Caenorhabditis elegans: one gene and its partners. The protein of the gene in region 3 interacts with the protein of the main gene of each other region in a pairwise test. Each region holds a gene or a part of one and is shown on either strand. Other genes may lie near its edges. The genes, in order: oma-1, sel-10 and gld-1.

Evidence for each region.
Region 1: the proteins of gld-1 (region 3) and oma-1 interact in a two-hybrid assay, tested with the Caenorhabditis elegans proteins (one study listed by BioGRID).
Region 2: the proteins of gld-1 (region 3) and sel-10 interact in a two-hybrid assay, tested with the Caenorhabditis elegans proteins (one study listed by BioGRID).

The regions. Positions count from the first base shown.
Region 1 is NC_003282.8:8,887,414-8,891,578, reverse strand, and holds oma-1 (CCCH-type zinc finger protein oma-1), read right to left. Parts: upstream 2,604-4,165; 5' UTR 2,494-2,603; coding exon 2,456-2,493; intron 2,408-2,455; coding exon 2,240-2,407; intron 2,194-2,239; coding exon 1,963-2,193; intron 1,921-1,962; coding exon 1,773-1,920; intron 1,729-1,772; coding exon 1,497-1,728; intron 1,454-1,496; coding exon 1,047-1,453; 3' UTR 580-1,046; downstream 1-579. Other genes in the region: spr-2 (Suppressor of presenilin-2), read right to left, coding at 1-104; C09G9.5 (MARVEL domain-containing protein), read right to left, coding at 3,124-3,226, 3,281-3,380, 3,493-3,624, 3,676-3,783. UniProt on the Caenorhabditis elegans protein: Zinc-finger RNA-binding protein that binds to 5'-UA[AU]-3' motifs in the 3'-UTR of maternal mRNAs to suppress translation in oocytes and embryos.
Region 2 is NC_003283.11:13,817,581-13,823,551, reverse strand, and holds sel-10 (F-box/WD repeat-containing protein sel-10), read right to left. Parts: upstream 4,192-5,971; 5' UTR 4,188-4,191; coding exon 4,098-4,187; intron 4,033-4,097; coding exon 3,965-4,032; intron 3,923-3,964; coding exon 3,826-3,922; exon of another isoform or gene 3,703-3,825; intron 3,592-3,702; coding exon 3,457-3,591; intron 3,409-3,456; coding exon 3,263-3,408; intron 3,215-3,262; coding exon 3,095-3,214; intron 3,035-3,094; coding exon 2,642-3,034; intron 2,295-2,641; coding exon 2,069-2,294; intron 2,020-2,068; coding exon 1,837-2,019; intron 1,530-1,836; coding exon 1,388-1,529; intron 1,338-1,387; coding exon 1,174-1,337; 3' UTR 572-1,173; downstream 1-571. Other genes in the region: hpo-31 (CCA tRNA nucleotidyltransferase 1, mitochondrial), read right to left, coding at 1-87, 133-289, 343-392. UniProt on the Caenorhabditis elegans protein: Probable substrate recognition component of SCF (SKP1-CUL-F-box protein) E3 ubiquitin-protein ligase complex, which mediates the ubiquitination and subsequent proteasomal degradation of target proteins.
Region 3 is NC_003279.8:7,694,034-7,698,736, reverse strand, and holds gld-1 (Female germline-specific tumor suppressor gld-1), read right to left. Parts: upstream 3,057-4,703; 5' UTR 3,042-3,056; coding exon 2,853-3,041; intron 2,802-2,852; coding exon 2,600-2,801; intron 2,554-2,599; coding exon 2,416-2,553; intron 2,371-2,415; coding exon 2,246-2,370; intron 2,201-2,245; coding exon 2,084-2,200; intron 2,036-2,083; coding exon 1,892-2,035; intron 1,847-1,891; coding exon 1,634-1,846; intron 1,591-1,633; coding exon 1,327-1,590; 3' UTR 515-1,326; downstream 1-514. Other genes in the region: T23G11.10 (uncharacterized protein), read right to left, coding at 1-140, 192-301, 346-436; T23G11.4 (Hepatocellular carcinoma-associated antigen 59), read right to left, coding at 3,569-4,212, 4,317-4,395. UniProt on the Caenorhabditis elegans protein: RNA-binding protein which recognizes the 5'-UACUCAU-3' RNA consensus sequence. Binds sequences in both the 5'coding and the 3'-UTR region of rme-2 mRNA. Binds sequences in the 3'-UTR region of cye-1 mRNA. Binds to cyb-2.1, cyb-2.2 and cyb-3 mRNA.

The DNA of each region.
Region 1 (4,165 bases), on a different chromosome or scaffold from region 3:
TCTAGTTCGATTAGCTTTTCCTTCACGGGACCAGCTACTTCGGATCGGAGATTTGGGAACTCATCGGCATTTTTCATTCGCTTTGCAGCCGGCTCTTCGCTCATATTTTAACTGAAAAAATTGAAGATTAACGGCAAAGAGAGCTTGTTTAGTAGAACAACAAAAGGCAGGGCGAGTTTGTAAAGCAAGTGTTCAACAGAATAAGCGCAAACGCACTGAAAATGCGCAAATAGTGTTGACTGGCGCATATTTTGAATAGAGCCTAGACACTTTTGATTTAATCAAGTGATTGATCAAGCTTACCCACAATTAACAGTTTTATAAATATCGACAATTTATGACCTAGTCAAGAACGCGAAGCTTAAAATTTAAAAAAATAAATGTATTATTATCGGTTAAACGGTTGGGAAAAAACTAATTAACATGCATGCATATAAAGTCTTTAAAACCGTAATGTTCTCATATTGAGAACAAAGCTAACTTGAATTGCAATATTATTTTGCTTTTTCATGGTACGTACTTAGATAGTTTTCGTGTTGGAACATATAACCTGATTTTCAATAAATTTGAAAATTGAATCGATCAAAAAAATTTACTACATCCTGCAATGAGGATCAAGAAGGAAATTTCGGATAAAAATTTTAAATGAACAAAGAAACGAAAGAAAAATACGTACGGGCAGTATCGGAGCCATTGAGAAGAAAGAAAGATAGAAAAAAAGAATCACAATTATGATCCGTGGCAGGTGCAATTTATTTTGAGATTGGGGAAGGGATTAGTGAGACAGAAGGCAATCGGGAACTCGAGCGGTGAAAATTGGAATACATTCAATGATTCGATGAATTACAATATACATCACAAGATTCGATATTAATTTCGAGAATTTAAAATGGGAATGGGCGCTTTTGACGATTGGGCCAAGTTTCTATGGGACAAGAACACGTCGACTAAAACTTATTATATTCACAAATGCACGCATTATTAGTTAGTATGGGGGACACGAATATTGAAAGTGTTTAAAAATTTGACAAATGTAGAGAAGTTGTTCACCACAAATTGAGATGCTTGGTCATATTTTCGGCCAATTGATCGAATCCTGGCATTGGAGAGAATGGTCCGTTACATGACATCATTGGATCAGTTGCGACAGATTTCATCAGAAGAGATTGAGCAACAGCAGAATTTGCGAAATATGCAGCAGCGGCAGCTGCGGATGCTGCATTGAGTGACGAAGAACTGAGATCCTGAGAAGGCGTGGATCCAGCAGATGAATATCCAGAAACTCCTCCAGGAGTATTTTGCTTTCCGAGCATTCCGAACGAGCCAGCATTTGGAGCGGAACCCAAAACCATCGAATCGAGTGGACTAGCTGGCCGATGTGCCATATTCCAAGCGTCTAGAGCAAACATCGATGGATCCAATGGCCAGCGAGACGGTGGATAGGTCATCGCACCTAAAACAGAGGTCATTAATTGCAACTAGCTGCCAATTTTTACCTTCCGCGTCATGCAATTCCTTCGTTGGTAGCTCATATCTTGGACCACGAGTACTAACAGGAGTTGGTCCTAGTGGCAATTTAGCCGCTGGCTCATCTGGAGTTGATGGCCTGGCAAACATTTCTAAAGGATGCTGAATGGCAGAAAGCGGGGGAGCTGCAATGCGACCATTAGTCATGATGTGCTGCTCCATTTGATCACGAATGTCAGCCAATGCATGGCGTTGAGAAACCTGAAAATGTTTACAGTGAGCAAAAATACATGTTTTCTTCTGACTTCAAGAAGTTTATCAGCGCGAATGTATGCGTTTGGTCCATGATCGGGATGAATGAAAAGGCACCGTTTCCCGTATGGGCAGAGTCCTGTAGTCGTATATTTGTCACAGAGTTTCGTTTTATACTTATTGTTCTGCAGCGGCTCGACGCTAAAAATTGGAATTAACATAATTTGTTTGCTTCATTCTTACAATGTTGGACGAAGTTCCTCCTCTCCATGTGCAAACCGGCAGTTGTCTGCGAAAGAACAAGTCTTAGATTCGAGCCAAGCTTGGCAGATCACAGTCTTGTATGATTCTGGTTTCTGCATTCGGGCTAATCCGCGGCGTCTAGGATCAAACTGTTGAAATGGAGGTGCAACCTGGTTGTTCTGGGGAAAACTCTGAATCGCGCGAACTTGCATCGATTGAATATGTTGGTTGCTGAAATGTAGTAAATTGAAGATATTCAGGAAATTAGCCAACGCACAATGCAATATCTTCAAGCAACTGCTTTTTGATAGCAATCAAGTTAGCAGTTTGAGTAACCAAATCTCCAATCTGGGCATTCGGATTAGTTTGAGACAAGTCCTTAGCGTGATCGAGTGGTGAAACGGGCAAAGTTGGAACGCCAGCGAGGGAGCTCTCGAGATGATGCCTTTAATAACATAAAATTACTTTTTCATTTGAATTTTGTTAAACTCACTCATCGATCTTCTCGTTGTTTTCACCGTTAACGTTCATATTGATGCAGTTGAGTGGATGTGAATAGTGTAAGTAATCGGGTGCAGGGAATGCTTAACAATCAACACCGGAGATACTCGATTTCCGGAAGATGTTGCGAGCTGTAAGTTCTGAAAAAGAAAATCAAATGATCCTACTGAAAAACAAAAACACGTTACATAAAACAATACTTGAGTGCGAACAAAACAGATACGAATGGCATTTATGAGAAAATATCACATTTTGGCGCCGGTGCACAATAAAAAAGTTTAAAAAAAAGTTTTTAATATAAATATGTCAGAATTTCCGGCCGAAAAGTAATATTTGAAACAAGGAATACTCAAGAAAAGCCTGAAAAATGGTTCCTTCATATTACGCGGGGGCATAAACTACGGTCGCACTGTTTTCACGTGTGCGATTTAAAATGATGTGCGTCTTTTAGGAGTACTGTAGGCCAAAAGTTTTCACGCCTATAACTGCTTGTAGTGAACTGATATGTTATTATAATCAAACAATTTATGCACTAATTTAAGTTAAAAAAAAACATATTTATTTTTTACAATCAAAAAATTATAGCGACAAACCCGTGTGAAAAATCAGGAATCTTTAAAAAAAATGAATGGTTGAAAATATCAATTAGAAACTTCAAGTTCATCTTCGATTGAAAAGGTACAACCTTCGAACATCAATATACGTCCAAATATACGAATAGATGAAGAATATTTCAAATGCACCAAATACCAGCAATGCAACTCTGAAATTGATAAAATAGTATACCCTAGGTTTCCTTTTTTTTTCAAAATCCCACCTTAATAAAATAATATCAACAATTTTATAACTCCGATCTTGTCCATTAACCTCTTCTCTAATTTCATCAGGAACTGTGATTGTCGATCCGATTACCGCTCCTGTAATCTCTCTTTTTCCAATTAAAAACTGTCAAATTTGGTCGTCCGGTTCACAATCTCTCAATATTTGCGAAACTGATTAAAACCACACCGAAAAAAAAACTTCGCTCACCAGCATATGCAAAAAACAGAATCGTATTCAAAACCATATATGGTAGTAAAAATTTGGGTCTCGCACGGAAAACTGCCATAATAAACATTAAACTGAAGGTGAGGATCATGGTGATAAGTATGGAGCAGATTACTGAAAAATCCATATTTCTAAATAATTCAGATTAAATTTATTTAACTGTACCAATAAATTCAACATAATTCTTCGGTGTTTTTTGAATCAATCTTATTAATCCATAAACGTAAAATGCAAATAAGAAAATTGCATTGAAACTGATTCCAAATATTGCAACTGAAAACATATTTTTTAATATAAATTTTTCATCGACTCCCTTAACATTCTTGTTACCCTGTTTTTTATAAATAAATAATCCATCGAAAAAAATAGCCTTGTTATTTATTTTGTGATCAGTATTTTTAGGTTTGATAACACTTGTAAAACAAACAAAACAAAAATGTAAACAATTTTATAATGATTCTCATGTTATTTTTGTTTTCAATTTTTCTATTATTAAGAGATAAGCTTTAATGTGTCAAAAATCAAATAAAAAAGAGAGAAATAATGCCTGCCTGCCTTCACCTCGCGCGCCTTCTGTACACGCAAACGTTGTTTCTTTCATTTGTTAATTTAACTTTCATCAAATAAGATGATAAAATAAAGATAATTGTGTAAA
Region 2 (5,971 bases), on a different chromosome or scaffold from region 3:
TTCACAATCGTCAATGCGACACGTGATTGTTCCGTGCTCTTCGCCTCTTTTATGAAGCATTCTAATTTTATCCTCTTCGAACATTTCCTGAATAAAATATATTTTTTTTGAGATTTGGAAAACAATTAAAACCTTCATTTGAGTCGGTGTTGCAGTACTGGCAAAGTCAACGTCAGCCGGTCGAATGTTCATAAGTAGATCTCGAACAGCTCCACCGGCAATTCGAAGCTCATAATTTCGTTTGGCGAATAAATCACGGAGTTTCAAAAGTTGAGGTGTGAAGAGAGTTCTGAAAAATATAGAATTAAACTTAAAACGATTCTTCAAATATCCGGAACTTGCCGAAAATCTTCATTATCAATTTTCATTGTAGTTGGCTCAATTTGATTCATGATGTATGTTGGAGTTTTTGCTGTTGATAGACTTCTGGTTGTTAAACTAATTATTGTAGTTGGGGTCAAAAATTTAGACACAAACTTCATAAAGCTGATATTCACTCACTGAAAAATTACAGGATAATTTGGAGAAATCTCCAATAGAGATATTAAAAGAAAATCACATATAGACGGATGACACGAATCGATATTTATTATTATGAAATAATTGTTATTAACCTACTTAATCGAATGACGTCTGGCATAAGTCGATAAAACGAAGACAAAAATTTTAAAAAAGGCAATGTCGAGGGTAGAACTTTGAATTTTGACAAGTAGTTTTTACGAAAAATGAAAGCGAAAAAAGAGGGAACCGACAGGGACTAAAAAGCTCATTAGATCAAAAAGAAGTCACATAAGGACTAACATACTGACTGAACTATTGTATAAAGGAAATCAAAATCTGGGAGTAGTGAGCCCATCATTTGAATAAAAATATAAAATCAATCAAACCCGATAACTTAATGGGAAACAATCGAAAAGAGAAAGAGAAGAGTGTGAGACAGAATCTGACAAAAAATAGTAAAAAAAAGAAAAATTATAGTGGCGGGCCGGGATATAACGAGTTGAATAGACACATAAATTCGTTTTTCCTCAAATTTGACGTTTCAATACTGTTGGCTTTTGACTATATTCCATGATATGATAGCATTGTTGATTTAAAAATGAGGGCATCGTGTACAATATTAGTTCCTAAGCAAGAACATTCTATGTACAGGGGCAGAGATTCGAGAATTCGTTAAGGGTATACAGCATCAAAGTCGAGAAGGATAACTTTGGTCTCCTCGGTGTTGTTACGAGATCCGACTGCACACGCTAGCATCGTAGAAGTAGAACAAAGTCTCCAAATACAGCCACCATTGCCTCCAGAATCCAAAGTTACTAGATCTCGAATCAGTGCACCTGGAAAATTTTTTTATGGGTAAAACTATCTGTAATTTATGTGATCTAACCTCTCTCAATATCCCACAATTTGACAGTTCCATCGTCACTACTCGTTGCTACCATATTTCGTCCAAACCATTGAAGTGAAGTGATAGCGGATCGATGTCCAGAAAGCATGTGTACACAAGTTCCCTCGTGAATATCCCATACCTGAAAAAATGATTTAAAAAAATAATACAATTTTTCAATGTTCTCACAATGTGAGGGTTACTTTATCTACTACGCTTTTGTGCTTTTCCATACTTTTGAAAATCATTTCAGATCCGTACACCTTTGTTTGCCATCGAATATTGGCTTTTGTAGAAACAGCCGCAGAGAGACAGAAAACGCAGTGAAACATCAGGACCAATTTTATTAATTGGAATTGGTCTCTAATTGTTTAACAGGAGAGCGATTCAGACTCTCGTACAAATGTTTAACTATGACAAGTTTCTCAATCTTACATCTCTATACTTACTCTAACATGGCTATCTGCATTGCATGACACGAGAATATTGCCTCGAAGTTGCATTCCGGATGTAAGTGAGGTGTGTCCTTGCAAAAGAGCCACACATTCTTGGCCTTCCGGTCGTGTAAAATCCCACACGCGAATTGAAGTGTCCAGAGAGCCAGAGCACACGATCGATCGCTCGCTTTCAAACTGAAAACAAAAACATTATTTTTCGGATTTTGTTATAAGAAAAACGTACGAGAAGAGAATAAACTCTATTGTTATGACCGGTCAGAGTACGGATACATCTCCCAGTATGAGCATTCCAAATTTTAACGGTAAAATCATATCCTCCCGAAACAACAGTTGTTCCATCGAATTGAACGCATCGAACGGCTGCATGATGGCCATGTAAAGTTGCCAGGTGACGTCCGGATTCTACGTCCCATACACGAAGAGTGGTATCTCGTGATCCAGTGACAAGTCTGAAAGTATTAAAATTAAAATGTATGGGTTGAAAGTGTGGTTATTCAGCGAGATTTTTCGTTTTCTTCTCATTTTTAAGATAGAAAATGTATTAAAAAAGTCTTAAACAACCAAATACACGTTCGTGTTTTTCTATTTTGAAACAAAAGTTTTAAAAAAATTACCATAAACTTTTTTTGTGAAATTAGATAGAATAATTTTCTTAAGATATAAATGATCTACAAATCAAAAACTTTCCATCAAGATTTGATATAGCTCGCAAATTAGGGAATTCAACTGTACGAAACCCGAAATTTTCAGTATTAAATTTCTTTTTCCAAGCAGTTATCATAGTGAATAGCCTTACATGGAACCAGCCATAGCCATGCATCGAACAGTGGAAGTATGTCCTTGAAGTGTATGAAGAAGTGAACCATCTACAGTACTCCAAACTTTTACAGTTCTATCAGTGGACCCGCTAACAATATATCTTCCGCATTGAGAAATCTGTGATGTCCAAACTCCTCCAGTGTGGCCGACTAGTGTGTACATAACCTCTCCTTTGTCAATACACCATACTTTAAGAGTGTTATCGTCAGATCCAGTCACCAAGACATCATCATGAATTTGCATACAAGTGATTACATGATCTTCGTGTCCTCGTAGCACTGCTGACCCCATAATTGGATTCGCATTCCAGTTCTTTTCAATTTTATCGGCTCGAAGATAACGTGACTTGTCAGCAGCGCGTTCGAAGATACTGAAAATAAATCGAATGTGATCGGAACGTCTTTAAAAATAATATTTCCAATAAACGTACTCTCCAAACTTCTGCAACTTTAGAAATCGATGAACATTAAGATCACATGGCTGAATGTGATCAGGAATAGTGACTCCAGCAGCAATTGCAGTTCCTTGCCACGCACCAGTAACTCGGTCTCTGAAAAGATAATACTAATCTCAAATAATTCCCGTTCAAAAGTATTACGTGGGATCTGGATGATGTTTAAACTCTTCGACACCAAGACTCTTCCAAATTTTGTCAATTTCAGATATCAATTTCCAATTTTTCGACACCTGTGCCACTTTGAGCAGGTCATATCCGGTTAAATTGTGAAGGATTTTCATTCCGAGCTGAAAAAGTTATATTTATAATTTTTCTTTCCGTTTCAACACAAATACCTCGACAGGGAGGCAGGAGAGGAAATCACGCTGGAAATGGGGTTCAATAATGGCACGCAGCTGTCGAATATTTGTCATGTTGGATTCCTGAAGCAGACGTGTGAATGCATCCATTTGTTCCGCGCTTGATAGATCCTAAAATGAATTCAAATTACACTTTTTTTCAGCAAAAATAGAGCGAATATGCCTGGCTGAGGTGCTCTCTTCAAGGTTTGGAAAAATCAATAATACACAGGTCACCCTCACCGGAGCTTGAATGCATTGTTTTGTCATGTTACTAATTATTGTCGCATTCAAATATTAATTTATTGCATGTGTATTAGCCGCAACGCTGAAAGATTGATCGCGACAATCAATCAATATGTTTACCTTGAATAATGCGATCAAATGTTCGACACGCGGATTGAGGTCGTTGTTTCGAGAGGGAGAAGCCGATAAATCAAGTTTGTGTTGCAAAGGTCTGGAACTGGTACGTTTTGCTATAAATATTCACTACAAAAAGGCTTACGACGATAATTTGTCAGCATTGTAGCTGGAAGAAGAGCCATTGCTGTACGAGCTTTCTTCTCCATTGTCCTGAAGACAAACATTTCAATTAGAATTAAATTATATTCTGAAAAGGGTTGTAAATGTTAACATACATTATATTCCATATCATTATCGGTAACAGGCTCCTGGTCCTCCGGTGTCATCGATCCATCATCCATGTGTACATCATTTCGTGGCCACATATGGCTGAAAAAGAATTGGAAATGAATAAAGGACAAAAACTACTGGGAATGAAGAATTTGAACACAAAAGGAAAGTCGATAAAACTATGATTTTCGTGAGAAAATGAGAAGAGAAGATGAAAGCTTTTTGCACGCGATATGCGTCAAGGCATCCAGTAGTGCGCCAATAACCGCTTGACGCATTTTCCGACGCGCACGTTTGTTCACTTGATGTTCACACGATGAAACATTTTCTATGCATATAAAGTGTATAAAGTTGATAAGATAACTTCAACAAATATTCTCGTGTAAAATAAAATATAAAATGTCCGACTTGTCGGTCACATAATCAGTTTCACAGAAGAAGCAGGTGTTCGATGGTCACTGCTGTTGCATATGACAGCTGGGTTCTCGTCCTTCATGATGGTGCAGAAAAATGTGTTCAACCTTGTTTCAAAATCATTTTTACGGAAAGGTTGTTTCGTATTGCACAAGTAAACCATCCTTATAAATTTCAGGATAATAAGGAATTTAAAAAACGAACTGCATCCCACGAAAACTCTTGTTTTGAAATTTTAAACTGAGTATATTAATTCAGTTTTTGAATAAAATAATACATATAGGTAATATGGTTTTTTAAAACAAGTGATTCAATTTACAACCACAAAAGAAAAATGATTTAAAATCTGTAACATTCTGAACGTAATGTGGTATTTCCATAACTGAATTCAAAAGAATTATGACCATCTGTGGCTACCGAGGGGGTAATTTTATGGAAATGAATACCATAAACTGACAGAAAAAGAGACACGAACACCTGCCACAATTGGAAACAATCGCTTTGGAATTTCTGTATAATATTTCTTCACAAATGTCAAGAACTATTTCTGATATGATAACACATTCATGACTAAACTGCAATTCCCATCTGAAATACGTTAGTTGAGTCATAGCTCACTATTTGCTCCATTTCTTTGTTTTTCACACTTTATTGGCTTTGTATTGCGGGGGGACGAATATGAAAGAATTGAGATGTGATTGAGAGGATTCAATTCATAAATTGTACTGATATTTATCAGCGAAAGTTAAAATTCATATTTGTCAGCAACACATCACATTTGCAAGATATATATTCAATATGCTAGAAATTGCACAAAACCGAAAAATACGATTATTTGAAATAGCCTACATTCTCTGAAAACGGAAATTCCGATTGTTCGACTTCAGGAGGAGCCACAATTTCCAACACTTTTGATATGTTTATTTAGTGAAATAAAAACTGAAATAAAATCCAAATCTATTCAAGAATGACGTTGGTATCAGACAATAAATTCGTGAAATATATTTTTATTTTCACGCCTTTCTACCTATATCATTTCGATAAAAAAAGGACGACGAAACATGAAAATAATTAAATTAAAATAATTTGGCAATTTTGATACTAGTCCAGCTCCAGTATGTCAAAAAATTCGATTAGTTGAAAGAGACCTGACCAATTCGGAAATTTCTGTAGAACGATTTTGGAAAGCTGAAAAAATGTTTTCTTGGAAGATTTTCACATTATAATTAAAATTTGAACTGCAAAACTATAGAAACAAAAACAGAATAAAAATGAGCTCTAATTGTAAATTTAAGGATAAAATCAAATACCAACATCATACGTGTTGCCAAAATTTAGGGTTTTCGGTATGGTGTCTAGAAAATGAAATAGTGGGTATACCTGATTTAAAATTAAAAAGTGTTCAGTCTGTTGTTAAGACTATTATATGTTGCCCACAAATTATTAAAAATGGGTATTTCAGAAA
Region 3 (4,703 bases):
TATTCATTCAACGCATTGACCACCGGTTTACTATATTCACACTTTTCAGAAAACATCATTCTTTTACATTCTTCCTCTTTTCTAATTCCTTTAAGTCCTGCAATAAAATCATCGTGCATATGCCAATTTTGAACTGTGCTCTGAAATATTATTATTTAGACGATCCTGATAAAATAACCGATAACAAATACCATTAAATGACGCCTCCGGACGTTTTTTTGTTTCTCAATGTTAACCGAATTGTTCACCAGGAGTAAAAGGAAAATTAACATAATTGCAGCTGCAGGCCATACGAAAAGTTCTGATAATTTTAACTGGCGATTTTTTTTACAGAACATCACATACTGAGTAATTCGATAACTCCATCAACTCTTGGATTATCATCAAAATCCTCTTCGGATTGGAAACAGTTTGAATCCCTGCTCACGTGAAACATTTGAAGAAATGAAAATGTTTCTAACTAATGTTTCCTTTTTAATCGTTTTAAAACATGAACTGGAAGAAAAATTGAATAAAAACTATTTTTTATTATTTTATCTCGCCCTGTATTTCAATTTCAAAATTCAAAATTTTGGTCTCAAAAACAGGGTACCGAGAAAATGGTCAATGTGAAAGACTGCTAAAAATATTAGCTCTTGGACTTGTGCTTAAAATTATAATGGACAGATTGGGAAGGGGTAGGGGTTTAGAATGGGGACTTGGGGCTGGTTTGATGGGGATGTGAGATTTGAACATATCTAACTAGCGGGAAAGAAAATTAAAATCTCAAGTTACTAAAAATTTAGAAAAGATGAAAAATTTTTGATGACTACATCAAACCGGGAAGATTCTACAGGGGTTAGCGTTAAGATAACACAGAAAAATAAAGGGGGTGCTTTGGCATTCGAGGTAGTATGAATGGGTAGGGGAATAGCTGCATCAATAAAAGTATCAATGAGTATTCTCCAAAATGGTTATCCTGATAAGATGTTATTACCGGGGCACCTGCCGTTTTTCTCTGATGTTAAAATATCTTTTCAAGATCTGCGAAGAAAGGGAAAAGATACTTAAAAATCAAAGAGCATATGGTGAAAGCAGCAGGGCGAGTTTAAATTACAGAAAGGAATTAATGGTATTAGGTATCTCATTACATAATTATTACTAACTGTATGTGTATGCTATTCCTAAAGGAGTGAGATGGTAGATACCAATTGATGACATGATAAAGATGGGGGAGATGAGAGGGGGAAAAAATGGCAACATGATGTATGGCACATGATTCTATGGTAACCTAAAATGGTGAGAACGAACAAAACAAAGGGAGTGTGAGTTATAAATGTGAACTTTTTAGAAAGAGGTGTTGTTGACTGAAGAAGCCGAGGGACTTGCTCCACTCGGGGACACATTGGTGTTTGTTTGATTGGCAAAAGAAGATGCAGAAGTGAAAAGACCAGGGAATGAGTTGACAAACGAAGTGGTTGTTGGGTACTTCGGGAACGTCAAATCACTTGCAAGTTGAAGAGAGCTGAATGAATCAAACATGCTCGGGCTCAGAAGCGAGTAATCGAAGACGTTAGATCCGAGAAGGTTGGATGCAGTGAGAGTGGGGCTCTGAAATTAAAAATATGAAACTTAAACTGAAGAACTGTTCTACCAAGATCGATCCTCCAAATGTCGTTGACGGGAGTCCTGATCCAGGAGTTGGCGACATCAAAACTGGACCTGAACTACGTAGTGGAGTTGGAGAGAGCAGAGGAACTGCAGTCATCACACGAGCTGGGTTTGGCGACTTCATTGGACGATACGTACCGTTGATGATTGCAAGTTCCATAAGTTGTTTTCTCTTCAGCTCGTCAGTTCCCTCGGGCTGAAAATAGGTTATTGTAGAGATTTTACGAAGCATATAACTCACAGCCGGAATGAGCAACTTCTTGACCTGTTCGAGTGCTGCTTGCAATTTGATGTGAACACGATTCTCAGTGTCTTCGCATTGCACAAGAACGTGCAGATCGTCTTCGAGATGCTCCCAATTGGCCTTTCCACGGTGAGCACTTTCCTTCAACAACTAAACTTTGTTTTAGATAAAATTGTAACAAGATCAAACCTTTGACTTGTCCCGCATTGATCCCTTTCCTCGGACCATAATCTTGCATCCAGTGTCCTGCTCAAGCTGCTTGGCGGTCATCCCACGTGGGCCGAGAATTCTACCGACGAAGTTATACTGAAATGTTTTAGTTGTTCGAAAACTTGAAATTCGTTAAATTACGTCTGGGTATTCGTTCTTTGGAACATAAATCTTCTCAGTGATCGAAATCATGTCTCCAGCAGGCTCAGGAAGCTCAACTCTCGGAAACTCAGTTTGGAACAAAGCCACGCGGACACGACCGATTTCTAAAATAAAATAATTACTTGTAGGAACACAGAGCGGTTATGTACCATCATCCAACAAACGTTCAACATTGCTGAACATATGAGGAAAGAGCGTAAGATGTTTCTTCTCTTTAACCAGATCAGCCAAGTACTCGACAGTTGCCTCAACCTCGATTGGTTCTGTAGCTGTTGGAGAGAACAGGCCTGAAGAAATTACAGAAAAATAAGTAGACATGAGATTGTTTCATACTCTTGTCCATCGATGATTTTCCATAACTCATTGGAGTTGCAGGAAGAGTCGGGGAAAAGATACTTCTGCTCTTTGGATTGAACATGGCTGGCGACAAAAGCGAATTAGGTGTTTGACTGTAAGCGCTCGAAATCGGGGACATGATGTGTCTGTTGTTCGTCGATAGCGTCAGACGAGCTGGTGGTGGCGCTCTAACAGAGCTCTGAAAATTTTTTATTACTGTAATTGATGAACAAAATGAAAATTCGCGTACCCATCCGTCTCGCCGAGTTGACGGCCAACGATCCGCTGGAACATTGTCGATGATGGGGAATCTCTTCCGTGGACTATTGTCTCCATCCAGAGACGTTGGCGTCATAACGGACGAACGAGATGGCGATTCAGAGCTTTGGCTTTCTAGTTGGGTCGAAACACCGTAAGTTGGAGTGGTGCACGACGGCATTCTTCGATGGTTAACCTGTAAGAAAACTTAGTAATAATATATTTTTCAATAACGTAACGACATAAGCTTAAACTCTGCGGCGATTCGCTCATCTAGCTTATCTAACGAATATTCACTAGAATTTCGGAATGAAACATTCGAGGAAAATGTGAAAGTGGTCATATTCAAATAGAAATAATTATTTCTAAAATTTTTAGATGAAACGAAATATAAAACAACCAAAAAGCATCGAAAAAATAAAACTCTAAAAAGTTTTGAGGTGAAGTCCTAAATTTCGAAACTTTTACCGTATACCTGTTTGCGATCGCTGCGAGACCCATACGTCGCGGTGCAACATGTTCCTTTAAGTTCCAGAAATGCGCGCACGGGTGGCGAAACGGCAGGAATTGGCCACGCCTATTAAGCCGTGCGCTGATTTGCATGAGGCTTTTCAGAATTTAATTGAATACTTTCAATTCAGAGTTTTATAAAATGAATCGAATTTATTTAAACAGGAAAATAAATAAAAAACACTTGTGTATCTCAATTTATCGACGCTGGTTGTTGAAACGTCTTCGATATTTTGGTTTTGATTCTTCACATTCTTCAATTGGTGGTGGAAGACCTGCAGCTTCAGCAGCAGATATTTGAAGAAGGAATCGTTTTTTCTTTTCAGTCTCCAAGATATTGGTGATACGAGTGCTAATTCCCAGGTCCACTTCTGGGATTCCTGCGAGCATATGCTCTGAAAGCAATTCTGTCTCCTTTTTGCTTTGATTTCCCTTCACTTTTCCAGCAGCTTGTTTCAAAAGCTCTACATCACGATCTTCTGCATTCAGCGATGAAAATTTAGCTGCAGCTGATGAAGAAGGTTGTTTCTGTTTTTCAATTTTAGAAGTATCAGCTGTATATTCTTGAAGTCCGTCATCAATATATTTCCTTAATTCTTCATGTTCATCTCTCAGCATTGTTTCCTTCTCGAATTGTTCTCGGAGTCCTTGTTCAATGCTTGCAGCTTCCATTGCTGCCTTCTTTTTACTTGTCATCACCATTCCGCCACCAGCCATTTGAATTCCATCCTCGAGAGCTGCAGCTTTTGAAATTCCAACTGCGCATTCTAATTCTGTGAGACCATTTTTCCTTTCTCGTGATCGTTGAAGATCTCGAATATCGGAAACTCTTGACGACTCTTCTGGAAAAAAAAATTTAGAACATTAAAAATTTTAATGCATGTTATGCTCTTAAGTTATCATTTGCTTTAAAAACAATTATTTTATCAGATTAAAAATTAAATACCATCAGCAGCAACGTCGTCGTCTTCTAAAATTTTCCTTTTTTGAATTTTTGATTTTGGTTTTCTGAAGATATCGGCCATTGTGTTCGTTGATGCTTAAAGTTTAAAAATTAAATAGCATTCAAATTTTAGAAAAAAGTTTTCAAAGTGTAAATGTAACATTTTTCTGAATCAGAACAGTTTTTCAAATAATCAAACTGTGTGAGATTGTTGGATGCAATAAAATTTATACATATCTGGTCACATCGGTACAGAAAAACTGGGATTACTGAAAAAGAAGTTGTGAAAAAGTTTTGATTTTGTGAAAAACAAGACCCAAATGATAAAAAATTATCAAAAAAAGTGAAAACAAATGACATGAAAAGTGAAGATGGTAAAGAGAAATTATG